3 linked regions of the Arabidopsis thaliana genome follow. The protein of the gene in region 2 interacts with the protein of the main gene of each other region in a pairwise test. Each region holds a gene or a part of one and is shown on either strand. Other genes may lie near its edges. The genes, in order: CHX4, SUC9 and PDLP6.

The links.
Region 1: the proteins of SUC9 (region 2) and CHX4 interact in a protein complementation assay, tested with the Arabidopsis thaliana proteins (one large-scale study listed by BioGRID).
Region 3: the proteins of SUC9 (region 2) and PDLP6 interact in a protein complementation assay, tested with the Arabidopsis thaliana proteins (one large-scale study listed by BioGRID).

Annotation. Positions count from the first base shown.
Region 1 is NC_003074.8:16,386,243-16,393,145, forward strand, and holds CHX4 (cation/H+ exchanger 4), read left to right. Parts: upstream 1-2,481; coding exon 2,482-2,745; intron 2,746-2,835; coding exon 2,836-3,894; intron 3,895-3,987; coding exon 3,988-5,118; 3' UTR 5,119-5,340; downstream 5,341-6,903. Other genes in the region: RPL9 (ribosomal protein L9), read left to right, coding at 263-415, 750-877, 1,034-1,079, 1,221-1,318, 1,402-1,449, 1,601-1,721; CHX12 (cation/H+ exchanger 12), read right to left, coding at 5,822-6,892.
Region 2 is NC_003076.8:1,867,580-1,873,355, forward strand, and holds SUC9 (sucrose-proton symporter 9), read left to right. Parts: upstream 1-2,211; coding exon 2,212-3,453; intron 3,454-3,550; coding exon 3,551-3,614; intron 3,615-3,970; coding exon 3,971-4,140; downstream 4,141-5,776. Other genes in the region: AT5G06180 (fission ELM1-like protein (DUF1022)), read left to right, coding at 5,618-5,776. UniProt on the Arabidopsis thaliana protein: High-affinity sucrose transporter. Responsible for the transport of sucrose into the cell, with the concomitant uptake of protons (symport system).
Region 3 is NC_003071.7:289,399-295,370, reverse strand, and holds PDLP6 (plasmodesmata-located protein 6), read left to right. Parts: upstream 1-2,682; 5' UTR 2,683-2,874; coding exon 2,875-3,598; coding exon of another isoform or gene 3,599-3,654; exon of another isoform or gene 3,655-4,083; coding exon 4,084-4,215; coding exon of another isoform or gene 4,216-4,223; exon of another isoform or gene 4,224-4,387; coding exon 4,388-4,398; 3' UTR 4,399-4,798; downstream 4,799-5,972. UniProt on the Arabidopsis thaliana protein: Modulates cell-to-cell trafficking.

The sequences.
Region 1 (6,903 bases), on a different chromosome or scaffold from region 2:
AACATTGTAAATCAAAATCCAGAGGAACTTTTAGCACTATAAAACCGATTTAACCGTTAAATTTTGGGTACTCAATTGAACTTTATAAAACTTTTAAGTAAGAAAACAGAAAAGTAGAATAATTACGGGGTCAAATTCGAAACATAAGAAAAACATTCGTCACTTCACTTGAGCAAGCACACGAAAAGCCGATAAGAAGATAACAATTACTACAACTGTGCGCTCTTGTTATCTCTGCTTTGAAGTGAAATCAGCTTTGGCTATGGCTTCTTCGACAGCTTTGTCTCTCTCATGGAGCTCCTCTCCTTGTTGGTCACACAGCTTCAATGGCGGTGCAAATGAAACCCTAAAAGTATCTGAGCGAAGGTTCAATTTTGAAGTTGTTTCCCAGAAGAAAGCTAAGAAACTTCGCAAGGTAAAAGTCATTACCTTTCATGGGTTTCCTTCAAAAATTTGATTTGGCTTTTAGTTAGTTTTTGATTTGAGCTTGTGTTTCTGAAGAATTTTGGTGGAGATGAAAGTAAAAGACTTGAAGATGCTTAATTTATGGGTTTAGTGTAAAAACATCGTCTTTGTTCTTGTATCAGCGTAGTTAGGAAGAAAGATGAATCAACATTAGAAAAGTAGACGCCTTTATATTACCAGTTTAGTTTCAAGTAGTGAAGATAAATTGGTTTGAAGCTTTGTTTCTGTGTAGAGAAATGGAGTAAGTGAAACACTAATGGTAAATCTTGTTTTGTGTCTTTAAGGTAATTTTGAAAGAGGATGTGACGGATTTGGGTAAGCAAGGGCAATTACTTGATGTGAAAGCTGGATTTTTCAGAAACTTCCTCTTGCCTACTGGAAAGGCTCAGCTTATGACTCCACTTCTGCTCAAGTAATTCACCTCAACTTCGAAATTTCCGTTCGCTTTTGTATGCTCTTACTATTCGGTTCTAAGGCCTTTGTATTTCGAGGGACTTTGCTACAATGTTGTAAGATCAACAAGAAAAACATCATTTTCTTTCTTTTTGTGTGTGTGTTTTTCCCCCAGGGAATTGAAGATGGAAGACGAACGGATTGAGGCAGAGAAGCAAAGGGTAATCTGATATGAATACATTGATTGTTTTTATTTGATCATCATGTAAAGTTTTGGTGTTTGAGTGATCACCAAAAAACTCTTTGGTTATTGATTTTCATCTGTTTGTTGGTTTTTTCTTTGCGTGGAACCTTTTTTGCAGGTGAAAGAAGAGGCACAACAACTGGCGATGGTATTCCAAACCGTTGGTGCTTTCAAGGTTAAACGCAAAGGCGGTAAAGGCAAACTGATATTTGGATCGTAAGTCCTACTTAAGCAAATCTAGATTTTAACAGTCTTGAGAATAGTGTTTAGCCTGTACTTAACTTTATATTTTCCTGCAGTGTCACAGCTCAAGACCTCGTCGACATCATCAAATCACAGCTCCAAAAGTAACAACATAGAAAATTTTACATTTCCACATAAAAAGCTACAAGCTTTCTCATGTGGGCGGTTTAGTTGGATCAGTCTACATTTGGTTTTTAGTGTTGTTCGAAGAACCTAATATGGTTTTATCTGCTTCTCTGTGGCTGTGTTTTGCAGGGACATCGACAAACGCCTTGTCTCTCTCCCAGAAATCCGTGAAACCGGAGAATACATAGCCGAACTCAAGCTTCACCCCGATGTCACTGCTCGAGTTAAGATCAATGTTTTCGCTAACTAAACCTTCAACGATTCAAGACTCCTACTGCATCCCAAGGTATTTCTTGATTTTCCATGATCATGTGGCTTTTAACCATAAATGAAACTAAGTATTAGTTTTGTCTTAGTTCGTGTCTTAATTGGCATGAAATAAGTAGTTAAACCGATGTTCTGAACTCTGAACATCGGCATATAAACATTGGTCGGGAATATTGGCTGTTGAACGGAGTTTTGCGTTTTAAGGTCTAGCCGCAAACGCAGATGCTAATTGTCCATCGCACTGTGTTTGGTGTTTTGAACTTGCAGGAACGTATAGAGAGGGAAAAGAGAGTAGCCTCTTGTGGTGAGGATTGAAGGTTGTGAAGTTTTTCCTTTAGATTGTTTGATGCATTTGTATTTTTGCTATTTTTGGAATCTGGAAACGCTAAAAGTATAATATTCTCTTGCAAGTTATGATATTTACTTGAAGTTATATTGTATTCATTTGTCTGTTGAAGTGATGAGAATGCTTAAATTAACACTAACAAGCTGTTTAAAAAACTAACAAATAACCAGAAATCTGAAAAACTATGTCGCCGTCTCTTGTTCCCACAAGATTGACTATTTTTAGAGAGTTGTTGTTTAATGACAAAACCCAGATGTTTTTTTGTTTCACTGCTTCTCTTCAATTCTGTTACCAAAACCTTTTTTGTTTAAGACAGTTATAGCTCTTGATTCGGTTTTTATAATCATATGATTCTCTTGTTTCTATCATCTTTGTTCTTGTTAACAAGTTTTGTCCAATGGAGTTTAATGGTGATAGGATCCCTTACCTGAGAGATACATGGAGAGATGCAAACATGATCTGCGGTATCTTGCCTATTAACCCGAGCTCGAGCGGGCTATGGCCCTCCCCGAAGCTCCCAGATCCTCAAGCAAACATTGAGTTCTGGAATTACATGTTTCCACATGTTCAGATCATTTTCCTTATCGTCACTATTCTCTGGCAATTCTTCCATTTCTTCCTCAGACGTCTCGGCATGATTCGTTTCACCTCCCATATGCTTGTAAGAACTTTACTCAATTCTTGAATCTTCAAATCTCTCTTCCTCTTTGTTTGCATTGCTTATGTTTGATATTCTGTGTGGTTTTGCCAGACTGGGATTCTCTTGAGCAAGTCGTTTCTTAAGGAGAATACACCGGCTAGGAAATTCCTCTCGACGGAAGACTATAAAGAGACTCTGTTTGGTTTAGTGGGTGCATGTTCCTACATGATGTTTTGGTTCTTGATGGGAGTTAAAATGGACTTGAGTTTGATCCGCAGCACCGGGAGAAAAGCTGTAGCTATCGGTCTTTCCTCAGTGTTACTCTCTATAACGGTTTGCGCCTTGATCTTCTTCTTGATCCTAAGAGATGTAGGGACGAAAAAGGGAGAACCGGTTATGAGTTTCTTTGAAATCATTTTCATCTATTTGATCCAATGCCTTTCGTCGTTTCCTGTAATTGGAAACCTTCTTTTTGAGCTTAGGCTCCAGAATTCAGAGCTTGGCCGTCTCGCTATGTCTTCTGCAGTGATCAGTGACTTCAGCACCTCGATCCTCTCTGCGGTTCTAGTCTTTCTAAAGGAACTCAAGGACGATAAATCTCGGCTTGGATCAGTTTTTATCGGAGATGTTATTGTTGGAAACCGTCCTATGAAGCGTGCGGGCACAGTGGTCTTGTTTGTTTGTTTTGCCATATACATATTCAGACCATTAATGTTCTTCATTATCAAGAGAACACCTTCTGGTCGTCCCGTAAAGAAATTCTATATATATGCAATCATCATTCTTGTCTTTGGATCAGCCATTCTTGCCGATTGGTGCAAGCAATCTATTTTCATAGGACCTTTTATCTTAGGCTTAGCTGTTCCACACGGTCCACCTCTAGGCTCTGCAATACTTCAGAAGTTTGAGTCTGTGGTTTTCGGCACATTCCTTCCTTTCTTTGTGGCTACCTCCGCGGAAGAGATCGATACTTCGATTTTACAGTCTTGGATAGATCTCAAGAGTATTGTCATCCTAGTGTCTGTATCGTTTATTGTCAAATTCGCTCTCACGACTCTCCCTGCCTTCTTATACGGTATGCCAGCAAAGGATTGCATTGCTCTGTCTCTAATTATGTCATTCAAAGGCATTTTCGAGTTCGGTGCTTACGGTTATGCGTATCAAAGAGGGGTAAGTAAATGTATTTGACATATTTCCTTCAAAATGTATCTAACACATTTTGATACACTCAGAAACTGAGCTTAGTATTCATTTTGATTGCAGACTATTCGGCCGGTGACCTTTACGGTTTTATCTTTGTACATCTTGTTGAACTCTGCAGTCATACCTCCGCTCTTAAAACGCATTTATGATCCTTCGAGGATGTACGCAGGATACGAGAAGCGGAACATGCTTCACATGAAACCAAACTCCGAGCTCAGGATTCTATCGTGTATCTACAAAACAGACGATATCCGTCCGATGATCAATCTCCTTGAAGCTACTTGTCCCTCAAGAGAAAACCCTGTAGCTACTTACGTCCTTCACTTGATGGAGCTAGTAGGACAAGCCAATCCAGTCCTCATCTCTCACCGATTACAAACCCGTAAAAGTGAGAACATGTCTTATAATTCTGAAAACGTCGTTGTCTCATTCGAACAGTTCCACAACGATTTTTTCGGCTCTGTTTTCGTTAGCACTTACACGGCTTTATCCGTGCCGAAGATGATGCACGGAGACATCTGTATGCTGGCTTTAAACAACACAACGTCTCTCATCATCCTTCCTTTTCACCAGACTTGGTCTGCTGATGGATCAGCCATTGTTTCAGACAGCCTAATGATCCGGCAACTGAACAAGAGTGTCCTCGACCTCTCTCCTTGCTCTGTCGGAATCTTCGTCTATCGAAGCAGTAATGGACGGAGAACAATCAAAGAGACAGCTGCAAACTTCTCATCTTACCAAGTTTGTATGCTCTTTCTTGGAGGTAAAGACGATAGAGAAGCTTTATCACTCGCCAAGAGAATGGCTCGTGATTCAAGAATAACCATCACAGTGGTTTCACTCATCTCTTCCGAACAGAGAGCGAACCAAGCAACCGACTGGGATCGCATGCTCGACTTAGAACTACTCAGAGACGTGAAAAGCAACGTTCTAGCCGGTGCTGACATTGTCTTCTCCGAGGAAGTAGTGAATGACGCAAATCAAACATCACAATTGTTGAAATCTATTGCGAATGAGTATGATCTGTTCATCGTCGGAAGAGAAAAAGGAAGGAAGAGTGTTTTCACCGAGGGGCTTGAAGAATGGAGTGAGTTTGAAGAACTTGGTATCATTGGAGATCTCTTGACTTCACAGGATCTAAATTGTCAAGCTTCTGTGTTGGTGATACAACAGCAACAACAGATGATCTAGGATTTTTAAGAAATCAGGAGATGACTAATAGAACGAGTGTTTCTTGGGGATAGAAACATCGATCGATCAGCTGGAAATGGCAACGAGAGAGTCTTGGGGCTTCTGGAAGTTGCCTCGGCACATATACAGAGATGTGAAGCCCTAGTTGTTACCATTTCATGTTAGAAATTGATTAGAAACAAAGACTTTCTTGAGTTCCAAGTAATGATTACAATGTTTTTGAATGTTGTATATATTTCAACCTATTTCAATCTGTGAATAGTTAGAGATGTTTTTTTCCGAGTTTTGGCTTAAAAATTGGTTACATATAAAATTAGTTTTTTTTTTCTTTTCTCAAATCTCAATTACGGATTTTAAATATAAAAACAGAATCTAATTTTTTTTTTTTTTTTTTTGCATACGTTAGTTATGTTCTTTTTTTTCTTTTTTAATAGATTTTCGGCCCAAACCTGTAATTATTGCAATCTCAGGCCCGAAACAATAGCATTTAATATGTTAGTTATGTTATGTGTACTTTAGCCATGTTCTGAACTCTTTTATTCTCTCGGTTCCGTCTCATCGGTCTTGTTGTGAAGTTTTAATGGAACATCTTCTTTTTTTTCTAATTTTAGTCCTGCAATAGTGAAAACCTCTTAAAAGAATGAGAAATGTATATATGAACACCTTCTAATAAATATGTTATACACAAACAAACAGAACATTTTCACGTTTGTTGTTGTTGTTGGACTACCAAAACAGAAACCCTAGAGTCGAGTTCTCTAGACGCTAGCAAATCTCCAATGACACCTAACTCGGGTAGTTCGACCCACTCCATGAGTCCATCGAAGTCCGGTGATGCCATGCCATGATCTCTCCCAACTACCATAAGATCATAATCCTCAGAGAGTGATCGGACGGTAGTGGCCACTTCTGGACCTCCAGTCACAATCCTCTCTGTATATGCAATAGAGTTTGTGGCCTCTGTATCTTTAAGATCCTCTAAAACCTCGTGATCAAGAATGTAATCCCAATTAGTCGACTCTGTTTCTCGGTCAGAGATGAGTCGGATCACAGTGATTTTGACTCTAGGGTTTTGCTTCATCTTTTTCACCAACGAGAGTGCCTCCCGATCGTCTTTGCCTCCAATGAAGATCACACCAACGTCGATATTAAATTTTCTTGTTCCTTTCAGCGACAACTGTCCACGGTCCACAAGAATCCCAATAGAACAAGATGCACTCTTGAGGAGTGACTCATTGAGACGTCTTATAGCTTCGTCCTCTGACTCAAACGCCCCATCTACGGTCCATTTCCTCCCCGAGGGGACGATAATAATCGATGTGGCTTGTTCCAAAGCGACCTTGCAAATTTCATCGTGCATTAAGTTCTCGTGCGTGATGGCAGTGAACATGGTCATGGTCACTGACTCCAACTGGCTGAAGGCAAGGTTGGCGGTATGGATGTAGGAGTTAGTTACTACACGATTTATTTGCTTGTTGTGTGAGATTAGGACGGGAACGGTTTTGCCAACAAGCTTAACGAGATGGAGGACTGTGACCACAATGGTGGAGGGCAAAAATTGGAGAAATGAAATGGCCGCAGAGATGTTCTCAGGTCTATGTATACAAGTCAAGATCCGGAGATCTGAATCTGGTTTTAGATTCATGATGTTCTTTTTTTGGTAACCAACGTACTTCCGCTTCGGGTCATATAGTCCGGCCAAGGCTGTGGGGATAATTCCAGAGTTTATTAGAGCACAAGTGATCAAGAATGTATATGTTGCTTGCGATATATACTGCAAAAACA
Region 2 (5,776 bases):
AAATATGGTTATTCATTTCAAATGGTGGAATCAGAATATCAATAAGCAAAAACTGGTACATGGTTTGATTCACGTTTGAGTTATATGTTCCTCATTTTCCACTATTCCATCAAACCAAAACAAACAATAAAAACTCAAACAAAACTTTTGAAAAGCGGCGAAGTCAGAGATGTTAAATATGCCTCAAACAGTTTTAAGCTCATAATGAGGAAATTACCCCTCATTCGCACATCTAATTGGTTCATCATTCTCGCCGTTTCATTGCAAAACCAATAAAAACAATGTATCCTACCCGATTATATAGAACGAGATACTAAATGAACGAAATTAAAATCTGAAAATCCTCAAACGCAAAGATCTCTAGCAGATAAAAGAGATAAACACTTATATCTGAAGAGTCAGCGAGAGAGGACCTTAATTCCAGATCTAATGCCGATATAAAAAAACTCGACCTATAATAAATCAGGAAGGTAAAAACTGGGTTAGTTCTTAGGAGAACCCTAATCAAAAACCCTTAATAAATTTCGATTTAGCGCAGCAATGACTCGACACGCTTCCATTAAGCATTTGTGGAAGGCGATCTTAAGGGCTGCGCAACGATTTAAAAAAAAAACGATAAATACGAATAACACGATTTAGAACATAAGCCCTAATATCTAAGAATTGGGGGTTATAATCGAAGATGCATTGTATATATAGTGAAGACTTGTTTTACCCTAGTCGAAGAAGCTTATCCTCGTTTATTGACTATTGGGCTTTAAGCCCATGTTATTTTAAGCCTTATAGGCAAAACAAGACAGAAAACAAAAAGACCAGAATCGCCTTATTCATCAAGTTTTTTTCTTCTTACTTAAACCGAACCGAACCGAACCGAATTGGATTGAGCCATGCCGACACGGAGTTCTGCTCTATAACTTTAATTCGGCACGCAGTCTAAATACAGAGACACTATATGACAAACTCCTCCATCGCCGGTGGTCTGCACAGGGGAGGGGAAACAGCGATTCGAAAATGTCAGGTCGTGAAAGTTACCGTCTTCAGCACCGAGATCCATCTCAGACTTCATATTTTGATGTATTACCAACCTTGTTCATTAATCATAATTGGACATTGTTTCCTTCTATGATGTCGTTTTACATTTCACTCATTGTACTCTTTTCTTTGTATCTTGTTGCTAAAACAGACAACTTCTTAGCAAAATCTATCCTGAAAGAAGTTATTGTCCGTCAAGGTCTGATGTAACTCTCAAGCGATATGTACTGAATTCATGAAGTAATGGAATGTGGGAGTGTACTTTTCACTGAGGTACTCGAGAACTATCATAGATGGCTATACTTGCCATTAGAGTAGTGGCTTCTCAGCTTCTCTTGTTTTCATTCAGGTTTCTGACTCATATAAACCCGATTTCCCGCAACTTGATGCTCAGACAGAGCGTTAGTCTTTTGGAGAGCTTGCAATCATGCTGGAAAGAAGATGTTCTCGTTTTCTCTGCTGCTGGCAAATTTCTTCGCTTGACATTGCAGCTTCGTTCGAGGTTTGTGAAATTTGACTTTAATATTATCATCAATATTGATAGACATATATCTAGTGAAGATAACGTGAAAACTTGCTTGTTTTACCTTAATCGAAGAAGCTTTTTCACGTTTATGGACTTTAGGCCCATATCTTACGACATAATCACTTTGGAATTTTGGATACTTAACCATTTTATGTTAGGCTCGTAACTGACGACATAATCAATTTGGATACTTAACGTACCCAAATTGGGTTTTGAGATATCATTTGTTTCACCTTCTTTTTCTTGTGGAGGAAGTCAAAATAATATGTAACAGTAATGCGGTTTGATGCAAACAGAAATTTAAAAAAGGAAAACGAACAAAACAAATTTGACGAGAAATTGTAAACAAAAACATATTACAGAAACAAGAAATCTGTCACGATCTCAGAATATGTAAAGATAAGATAATAAACTGATTTCAGTTAGTCTTGTCATTATTACCAAATTCCTATAAGGATATTTGCGTTATATCCTTTAGTATAAATGATTTATTTTCTTAACTAATGAAACACAGAATCAAAACGTTTATAGAAACATAAATCTCATTCATCTTCCACACCTCGTCTTTAAGAGACGAGTCCGTTTCTTTTCATCTCCTCTATCACGATTCACCATCACCAAAACACAACCTCTTAAGATAACGTGAAGAAACTATGAGTGACATCCAAGCAAAAGAAGATGCGGCGCCTGTTGATAGACAGTCTTCTTCGTCGGTTGTGGTTCCTGATGAGCCGTCACCTCTAAGAAAGATGATATCAGTGGCTTCTATCGCAGCCGGTATACAGTTTGGTTGGGCTCTTCAGCTTTCTCTCCTAACCCCATACGTTCAGCTTCTCGGAGTCCCACACAAATGGTCATCTTTCATATGGCTATGTGGTCCTATCTCCGGTCTGCTCGTCCAGCCAACCGTCGGTTACTTCAGCGACCGATGCAAGTCAAGATTCGGTCGTCGTCGACCTTTCATCGCCACTGGTGCCTTGCTTGTTGCCCTTGCTGTTATACTAATTGGATTTGCGGCTGACTTCGGCCACACCATGGGAGATAAACTCGACGAAGCTGTCAAGATAAGAGCCGTTGGTTTCTTCGTTGTCGGTTTCTGGATCCTTGACGTGGCTAACAACACTCTTCAAGGACCTTGCCGTGCTTTTCTTGGTGATTTAGCAGCCGGAGATGCTAAGAAAACTCGAACTGCCAACGCGATTTTCTCTTTCTTCATGGCCGTTGGAAACGTTTTGGGATACGCTGCGGGATCGTACACTAACCTCCACAAGATTTTCCCTTTCACAGTGACTAAAGCATGCGACATCTATTGTGCAAATCTCAAGAGCTGTTTCATTATTTCCATCACTCTCCTCATAGTCCTCACAATCATAGCTCTTTGGTACGTGGAAGACAAGCAATGGTCGCCTAATGCAGATTCCGACAATGAGAAAACTCCCTTCTTTGGCGAGATCTTTGGAGCTTTCAAGGTGATGAAACGTCCAATGTGGATGCTTCTAGCCGTCACGGCCTTGAACTGGATCGCATGGTTTCCTTTTCTTTTATACGATACCGATTGGATGGGTCGTGAAGTGTATGGTGGAGACTCAGCAGGAGATGACAAAATGAAGAAACTATACAACCACGGAATCCAAGTTGGTTCGTTGGGGTTGATGCTTAACTCTATCGTTCTTGGAGTCATGTCCCTTGTTATTGGAGTGATTAGTAAGAAAATTGGAGCTAAAAGGCTTTGGGGAGCTGTGAACATAATCCTCGCGGTGTGTTTGGCAATGACAGTTTTGGTTACTAAAAAGGCTGAGGAGCACCGGAAGATCGCTGGTCGGATGGCCCTTCCTACCAATGCCATCAGAGATGGAGCATTGAGTCTCTTTGCTATTCTTGGAATTCCTCTTGCTGTAAGTCCACCATGTCTTTTACCAATTTTTGTTACTATTATCCATGAATTATTATTTTGTTTAACAATATTAATCCATTTTTTGCTATATTTTATAGATTACATTTAGTATTCCATTTGCATTAGCTTCCATTATTTCAAGCAGTTCCGGTGCCGGTCAAGGTATTTAATTTTAACCTCTCCTTTTGTTTCTAATTTGAACCTACATTCTCATAGTAATGCTAATTAAAATGTGTGAACACAAAAAACGGTAATGGAGAGATCAGTTTCCAATTATAAGAAAAACGATCGAGTATATATTTTCACATAGGGTGATGTATGTTATGTACTAATTTATTGGTTAATTGATATTTTTATACAATCTGTTTACATCTTCAATTATTAGTTGGTTTTCATTCACCATATAAAATTTGTCATAAATGTATCAATAAGATACATAATCGTTCTGTTTAAGATTATTATTAAAGCGTTTATCAGATTAATAAGGATAGTGATAACATTTTTTGTCATTTTTTCAGGACTCTCTCTAGGAGTTTTAAACATGGCAATAGTGATACCACAAATGATTGTATCGTTTGGAGTTGGTCCAATTGATGCGTTATTTGGAGGTGGAAACTTACCTGGATTTGTGGTTGGAGCTATAGCAGCTCTAATCAGCAGTGTTGTGGCACTTACCGTTTTACCTTAATTTTTTTTTTTTTTTTATTGTTATGTGCTTCTTTTTTATTGTTATGTATCCACATGTTTAATATTAATGTAGCATGTGGCATATTTATTTACATTATTTAATTAAAGTTTTAATTTTAAAAAGTTCTTCTTGTTTTTGTTTAACTTCTATATCTATGTCAACATCAATCTGCGTAAATTAAAGTATTTTAAACTTCTAGGTAAATAACAAAAAAAAAAATTAATATTATGCATAGGAATTGTAAATCTAACATTTTTACCTTTATATGACAATTCATTCATGATACATTTTATTTTGTAGAAACAATGAAATATTCAAAAAAACATAATACACTTTAAAAAAGTATAAAATAAAATAAAATGAAATCAAAGACCAAAAAAATAAATTTAGTCTAAACAAAGACGACGGGGCAGGTGGGAAGACTCGAGTAGACACATGGATGAGTGTGGTAGCAAAAAGCTTACCGGCCGCGGTTTAGCGAAGAAAGAAATGAAGGCCTACACTAACTTTAGAAGGAGAGGGGGATGAGTGTGTGTTCAATTTTAAGAATTTAATTTTTGTATTTTAGATTCTATTAATTCTAGTATTATTTAAATTCTTGATTAACAAATTTTATTAAATGCTAGTGTTATTCAATATTAGGATTAATAAAGAAAAAATCCCACTCAAGATTGTGAATAAAAAATTCCAGGAATTCATGCAAAGATTTGGTTAGAATTAATTCAATTCCTTAAAATCTACTTTTGATCCTCTTAATTCTTTAAAATTTCTTAACTGAATACTACAATTACAATTGAGAAGTCGTAAGTTTCAATTGGTACGAAATGTACTCAAAACTTATCAATTCGAAATGAACATCATCATGTAGCAAAATTGAAGCAATATATATGTGGATCTACTGATACTAAGCAAAAAATCAAGTATTCTCTTTCTCGATGAACTAATTTATCAGTCGTAGCCTAGCGAAGAAAGATTTCACTAACATTTTGAAAAAATAAAATTGAGAGAGAATTGCAACAGAAAATTATGGTTAATGACTGAAAATATAAAGAACTTATATTCCAGTAGCTCTAGAATTTGACAAAATTGCAACGGAAAATACTCAAACTTTTAATAGCCAAAAAAAATGAAATAGAGTTAGAAAATCAACAAACCAATAACACAAATTTTTGAAAGAATTACAAAATTATCAACACAAATAATACAATAATTTAATTTAGTAAAAATATAGAAATCCACAAGAGTTAGAATCTTAAATTTTAAAACTCTTTAGAAATCAACTTGCTAATAATCGTAAAAAAATTAGAACGCTTGAAATAGCTGAAGAAGGTTTAATTCGTTCCGATTCCCGGTTCAAATTGATTTTCGATTTATTCTGATTTCAACTTCGGTTTGGTCTAGCTGGTCAGTCGTCATCACTCTCGTCAGGAATCCCTCTCGTCACTGAACTTTCTTTTCCTTTCAAGTTTCACCTCTAATGCGACGAACACAGCCACGGGAACTGGCCGTCACTGGTTTATCGGAGAATCTCCAAGGATGTGTTTTCCGCACGGTGAAACGAGCAGTTCTGATCGGAAACGGCTGCGCCGGCGCGGAGAATCAATGCATCGGTCTCCTTCGATCCTTAGGCCTCTTC
Region 3 (5,972 bases), on a different chromosome or scaffold from region 2:
GAAAAAGAAGAGATGAACCCATTGTATAGATTGGGGATACTTTAAATCTTTGAAAGAAAAAAATATAAATTGTGTTTTGAATAATAACATAAGCATTAATAATAAGAAAATGTGAATTAGGTTCTTATGAGGTAAGATCGTATTACCAGGGGAAATACGGCTAGGAACAGTATATGAAATGTCATCTTTCATCGCCATATTAAGGTTCTGGTTCATCATTTCCGCCGATTGCAACCTTATACCTTCAACAGAAGTTTCAAAATGCATTGAAAACACCAAAAATATGGTACAAATGGTGAAAACAGTTGAACAATTCATAGTGCTAGTTTTAAGGTCAAAGATTAAAATTGTTGAGTTGTATTGATGAAAAAATTAGTATAGATCAAATTGGGTTACTACTATGTTATATAATGGATTAAAAATACTTTCTTCTAATTGGAGTTAAATTTTGATTTATCTATTTTTGGACAATAATTTTAGGTATTAAATTTTTTATTTTATTTTATTTATTTGCCAAAGATTGCAAGTAGTAGAATTAATTGATTTGATTAAGTAAATATGACAGCTAGATACACTCTTTGCATGTAATTAAAAATTAAAAAATTGAAATTTTAATTTATTACAAGATTTTGATATCAACCACTTTTAGAGAAAGAGAGTAACCAGGCAATATTAGGAAAATATAAAATTAATCAAGAAAAATAGACATGAAAAACAAACTACTCCAATCTTTTTGTTTAGCCAATAAAGAGATTAATTAAGCTAATATCTTACTAAAAAAGAGTTTATATATTATTAATTTTATAACTTAGAAAATTTCTAATCTATTATGCAAAAAGTTATTTCTAATTAATAAGATTGATTCTACTAATTTTGATAATAGATATTTGATTCAAATATAATGAAAAATAAAAATGACCTCTAGCAATTTTTAAATTTTTGGTAACAAAATACTAACAATTTTCTTTTCTGGCATAGTTTAAATTAACTTTAGATAGTTTGAAATAATCTTAAGGATCAAAAGATAATAGTTACAATCTATGAAAAAATTGTTCTTGCAATGTAACAAAGATCACCTAAATCAAAAATGCCCTCGAGTTGTCCATAGATGTGTGTAAAATTAACTTAACAAAACTAATCAGTGCATGATTATATTTTTTTTAGTCGGCCAATTTATCCATTAGATAATGAAAGTGTGTACAGAAATACATTTAACAGACCCAAGAGACTATAACTCCAATTGGTAACATTACATAATAGCATAATAATATAAATTGCCAAATAAAAATTTGTAAAATGAAAAATTGTAGAATAAAATTATTTTTAAAATATGTTGATTGCATAAATTTTGTAGAATAATACTGCTTTTGTTGAGCCTCTCTTGCTAATGTATTTGCCATTACATTTGGTTCTCTACGACTATATATATTATAGTAACGGTTCTTGGCCAAAGCTAAGATATTATTTAGGCAGTCCTGAATTTCCCAATTTCCCGGTGTAGGATGATGACATGATGTGCGCATATACCAACTACTTTTAACAAAAATAAAATTACACTAGGTGAATACTCACACTACGTATAGGTTGTTATTTTAAAAATTATTTAAAAATAATTATGTTTAACTATTTTGATTGCTAATTTATGTTTTTTCCGTATATGTTATTATGTAGTTAATAAAGTTATATTTATTTTATGTAATTATATTTGTAGAGTTAGATTCACTTTTGATTCACATATCAATTATATTTTTTATGTATAAATCTTTTTATCTCTATACCCAAAATTCTAATCTTTTTTTAACTATCATGAATTACTTACATCAACAATATATGATACAATGGTATGCAATTATGTTACTTATTTAGTTTGAAAGTTGTCTAATTTGATTCTAAGCAAACAATTTATTGTTTCATGTATTCTCTCTTAATCTAATATCCCAATCACATCATGATAAACTCATGGCTAAGTATTAGATTGACATAAAATAAATAACATATGTATAACTAACTACTCATTTGCATTAAAAGTTTTCACGTGAAAGAAAAAAAAGAAAGCAAAAATTAAACAGTCTTTTAAGTTAATACTTTTAGGTTTCTCTCTTTACATTTGCATTTAGCTATATTGGAGAGAATGTCGTATATTAAATTTTTTGGTATATCTAACGTCTCAAAAGACCATTACTTTAAAAAACATGCATGTTATTATTAATGTTACTAATTTATCATAAAGTACAAAAAGACCATGATAATATCATGTAGACCAAAAAATGTAATAATAAGAAAAATTAAGTTAAAATTACTAAATTAAAAAAGGTTAAGTACCAGGTAAGTTGCAATACCCAAAAGTTTCTAACCATTATCAAATACTGACTATTAAAAAAAATAGCAAAATAAGAAAAGTAAAATGAAAATAGTATTTGATATATTAACATAATTTTTTATATTTTTTTCTTTTAAGTGAAGATATTTTGTTAAAAATAAGATTAATGAATGATTCAATGCAATGTTAAACTTTTAAATTTTATCACCAAGTTTTATTATTTTTCTAATAATATTAATTTAGGATAACATGTGACACTCATTAGTGTGATGATGTGTCACTCATATGAAGAAAGTTAGCCAACTTTCATATATATGATTACCAAATAAATAATTTTGACATATAGTATATCGATTACCAAACCATATAACTGATAAACAGATGATAAAAATACAATATAATCAAAGTGTTTCATAATCATATAGTAACGCACCAATCATTAAAAAAAAAAAAAAGTTAAACACCAAGCATAAAAAAAAGTCGCGACGTTCTCATTCTTTCTCGAATCATACCACAGAGAGAGAGAGAACAAAAAGAAGCAATCGTCGAAAGTCATGTTCGCTACAAAAACAGTTCTCTTTATCGCCGTCGTGTCACTTCTCGGAACGTTTTCATCCGCCGCTGTCGATACTTTTATCTACGGTGGTTGCTCACAAGAAAAGTACTTTCCGGGATCGCCTTACGAGTCAAACGTTAACTCTCTACTCACCTCGTTCGTTAGCTCAGCTTCTCTCTACACATACAACAACTTCACCACCAACGGAATCTCCGGCGACAGTTCCTCCGTCTACGGTTTGTACCAGTGTCGCGGTGATCTCTCCTCCGGCTCGGGAGATTGTGCAAGATGCGTCGCGCGAGCAGTAAGCCGTCTAGGGAGTCTCTGCGCCATGGCAAGCGGTGGCGCGTTGCAGCTCGAAGGCTGTTTCGTTAAATACGACAACACGACGTTCCTCGGTGTTGAGGATAAGACGGTGGTGGTTCGACGTTGTGGACCACCGGTTGGTTATAACTCGGACGAGATGACTCGTAGAGACTCGGTGGTGGGTTCTTTAGCGGCGAGTAGCGGTGGTTCATACAGAGTAGGAGTGTCGGGGGAACTGCAAGGTGTGGCGCAGTGCACCGGAGATCTTAGTGCGACTGAGTGTCAAGACTGTTTGATGGAAGCGATCGGACGGCTGAGAACGGATTGCGGAGGAGCTGCTTGGGGTGACGTGTACTTAGCAAAGTGCTACGCGCGTTACTCTGCGCGTGGAGGTCACTCTAGAGCCAACGGCTATGGTAATGTCTTCTTTGCTCCGTTGCTTTTTATTTCTTTTATAAAGATTTTTATTTGATTTTAAAGTTTTTAATTAAGGGAAAAACCCGAAAAAATCTCCGGCTAATTTTAGTTTGTCTGTTTAATACCTCTATTATTTAATTTTCTCAAAAAATATCTAAATTAATTTTTATATCTTTTTAAAACTTTCGTTTTATTAAATTTTGTTAAAATTAGATATTCAAATTAACAGCCGTTAACAGTGGTAACTGAATCAATAACTGCAGTAAAAACTTAACTGTACAGTATTTACTATTTATATATATTTTATTATCGAATAGTTACGAACGTATTGTCTTAGTCATGTGGTTATGTGAGATTTTTATTTTCAAGATTTATTTTTTTCGTTTATTTTCTCCATCTTCTTTGCATAGAATTTACAATTTATGCATATAATATTTTTGATAATTGTATTGTTAAAAATGTGTTATTTTTGGGATGTAATTAGGTGGGAATCGTAATAACAATGATGACGATGAGATAGAGAAAACACTTGCAATCATAGTTGGCTTAATTGCTGGAGTTACGTTACTCGTCGTATTTCTCTCTTTTATGGCAAAATCGTGCGAGAGAGGTAAAGGTAAATGAAATGACCCATCCCTAATTAATCGAACATTATCATCAAATATTGTTATGATTAACGGATCAATATGTAATTAATGGAGCCCAAAGATAAGGCACTATGATCCGACTTTTTTTGTTGTTGTTGTTGTTTATATCATCTATTAATGTTTTTGTTTTTAATATATCAGGTGGGAAGTAAATAACGTTATGGGACTTTTGACTTGTATCATCAATTTATGGTTTTAAAAAAGAATCAAATGCGTAAAGGAGAAAGAAAAGCGAAGAGATTCTTCATATTCTCCACTAAAATCCTAAAGGATGTTTCTTTTTTGACCCACTTTAATTGAAGTTTTACTATTTTTCAAATGTATAGAAAACTCACGCCGTTTAGATTTGTGATCGTATCTTTACGTAAGAACATTTAAAAGTGGCGCATATGCAATTTATCTTTGATATGTATTTCTAATTATCATAATCACTTAACGTTGTAGTTTAAAGGAATTATTGTTGATTTTGTGTTACTGTTTGTGACAAAACAATGTATATATATGTTCTATGAATTTAAAGCCAAAGTTAGCTATACATTTTCTTATTTCCAGTATATAAATAGAATTTTGTTCTTTCTAAACTATTACTACCTTCAATTTCTCTCTTAGATTTTTCATTTGCAAAACGCATCGGTGTATCATTTCTACTATATATCAATCAAAGAAGTCTATTCATGTTGTATAACTAAGTTTTGAAATCCCTTTTCTAAATTCATATAATCTTAACTCGTTACAACGAATTCTCGCATCCACGATGATTTAAAGTAAAATAATGTCAAATGGTAGGTATATATTTGATTGAATTAGATACTAATATATCATACTAAAGATATGAATACGTCTTTAGTAAGTAGAACTTTATAAAGTGTTCAAATTTATATCATTATGTTTCATACAAAAGTAAGGGGGGATACAAGCATAATTGCCTAATTGGTGGAACAATCGGCTTACGTGACACAATTCTCTATCATCAATTATTCGCCTTATGTTCTATATTAGATTTGCCCAAAAAAATAAAACTTGTTCTCAAGTAGATTAAAATTTGTTTGAAATGTTTTAATTATTTTGTATTTCTTATCATTTTATGCAATCGATATTATCCTAGGCCAAATAGATGCAGCTACACTAATAAAACAATTTGTGTGTGGATCATTTGATTTTAAGTTTCCTTTATAGTTTACGTTTAAAAAAAAAAAAAAAAGTTGCTAAAATTATGTGTTAGCGGCAATGTGGCACTGCGTTTTCGATCCAATGTTAAAGTAGCCATACTGGCTAATTTAACTACATTGTAAAAATGAAATAAAATTCGATTTTAAACATCGAGTAAAAAAATTACCAAGAAATGAAAGAATATAGTTAGACTCAACATCGACACCAACAAAACATGTTAAAGGAGAAAAAAAGTATTGTCTACTATAGAGATTACACATGCGATTGTAGACGCTATCGTACATAATATATTAAAGAACTTCTTAAGACAATGACGATGATGATTCAGAACGCTGATACCAAGGGAAAGTTGTTATAGTGCTATCGCGGGTGGAAATCACAGCTTCTCATCCGGGAATGGCACCGGTCCCAGTGTCAATATCATGGATTCTGCTAAATAGGCAACTGACAACCAGTCGTATGCCTATTTCATTGAGGCTTCTTCTTTTCGACTGGAGCGTCGATTGAAAAATTGGGATTGTTCCTCGCACAAGGTGGAGAAACTAATAAATTTGGT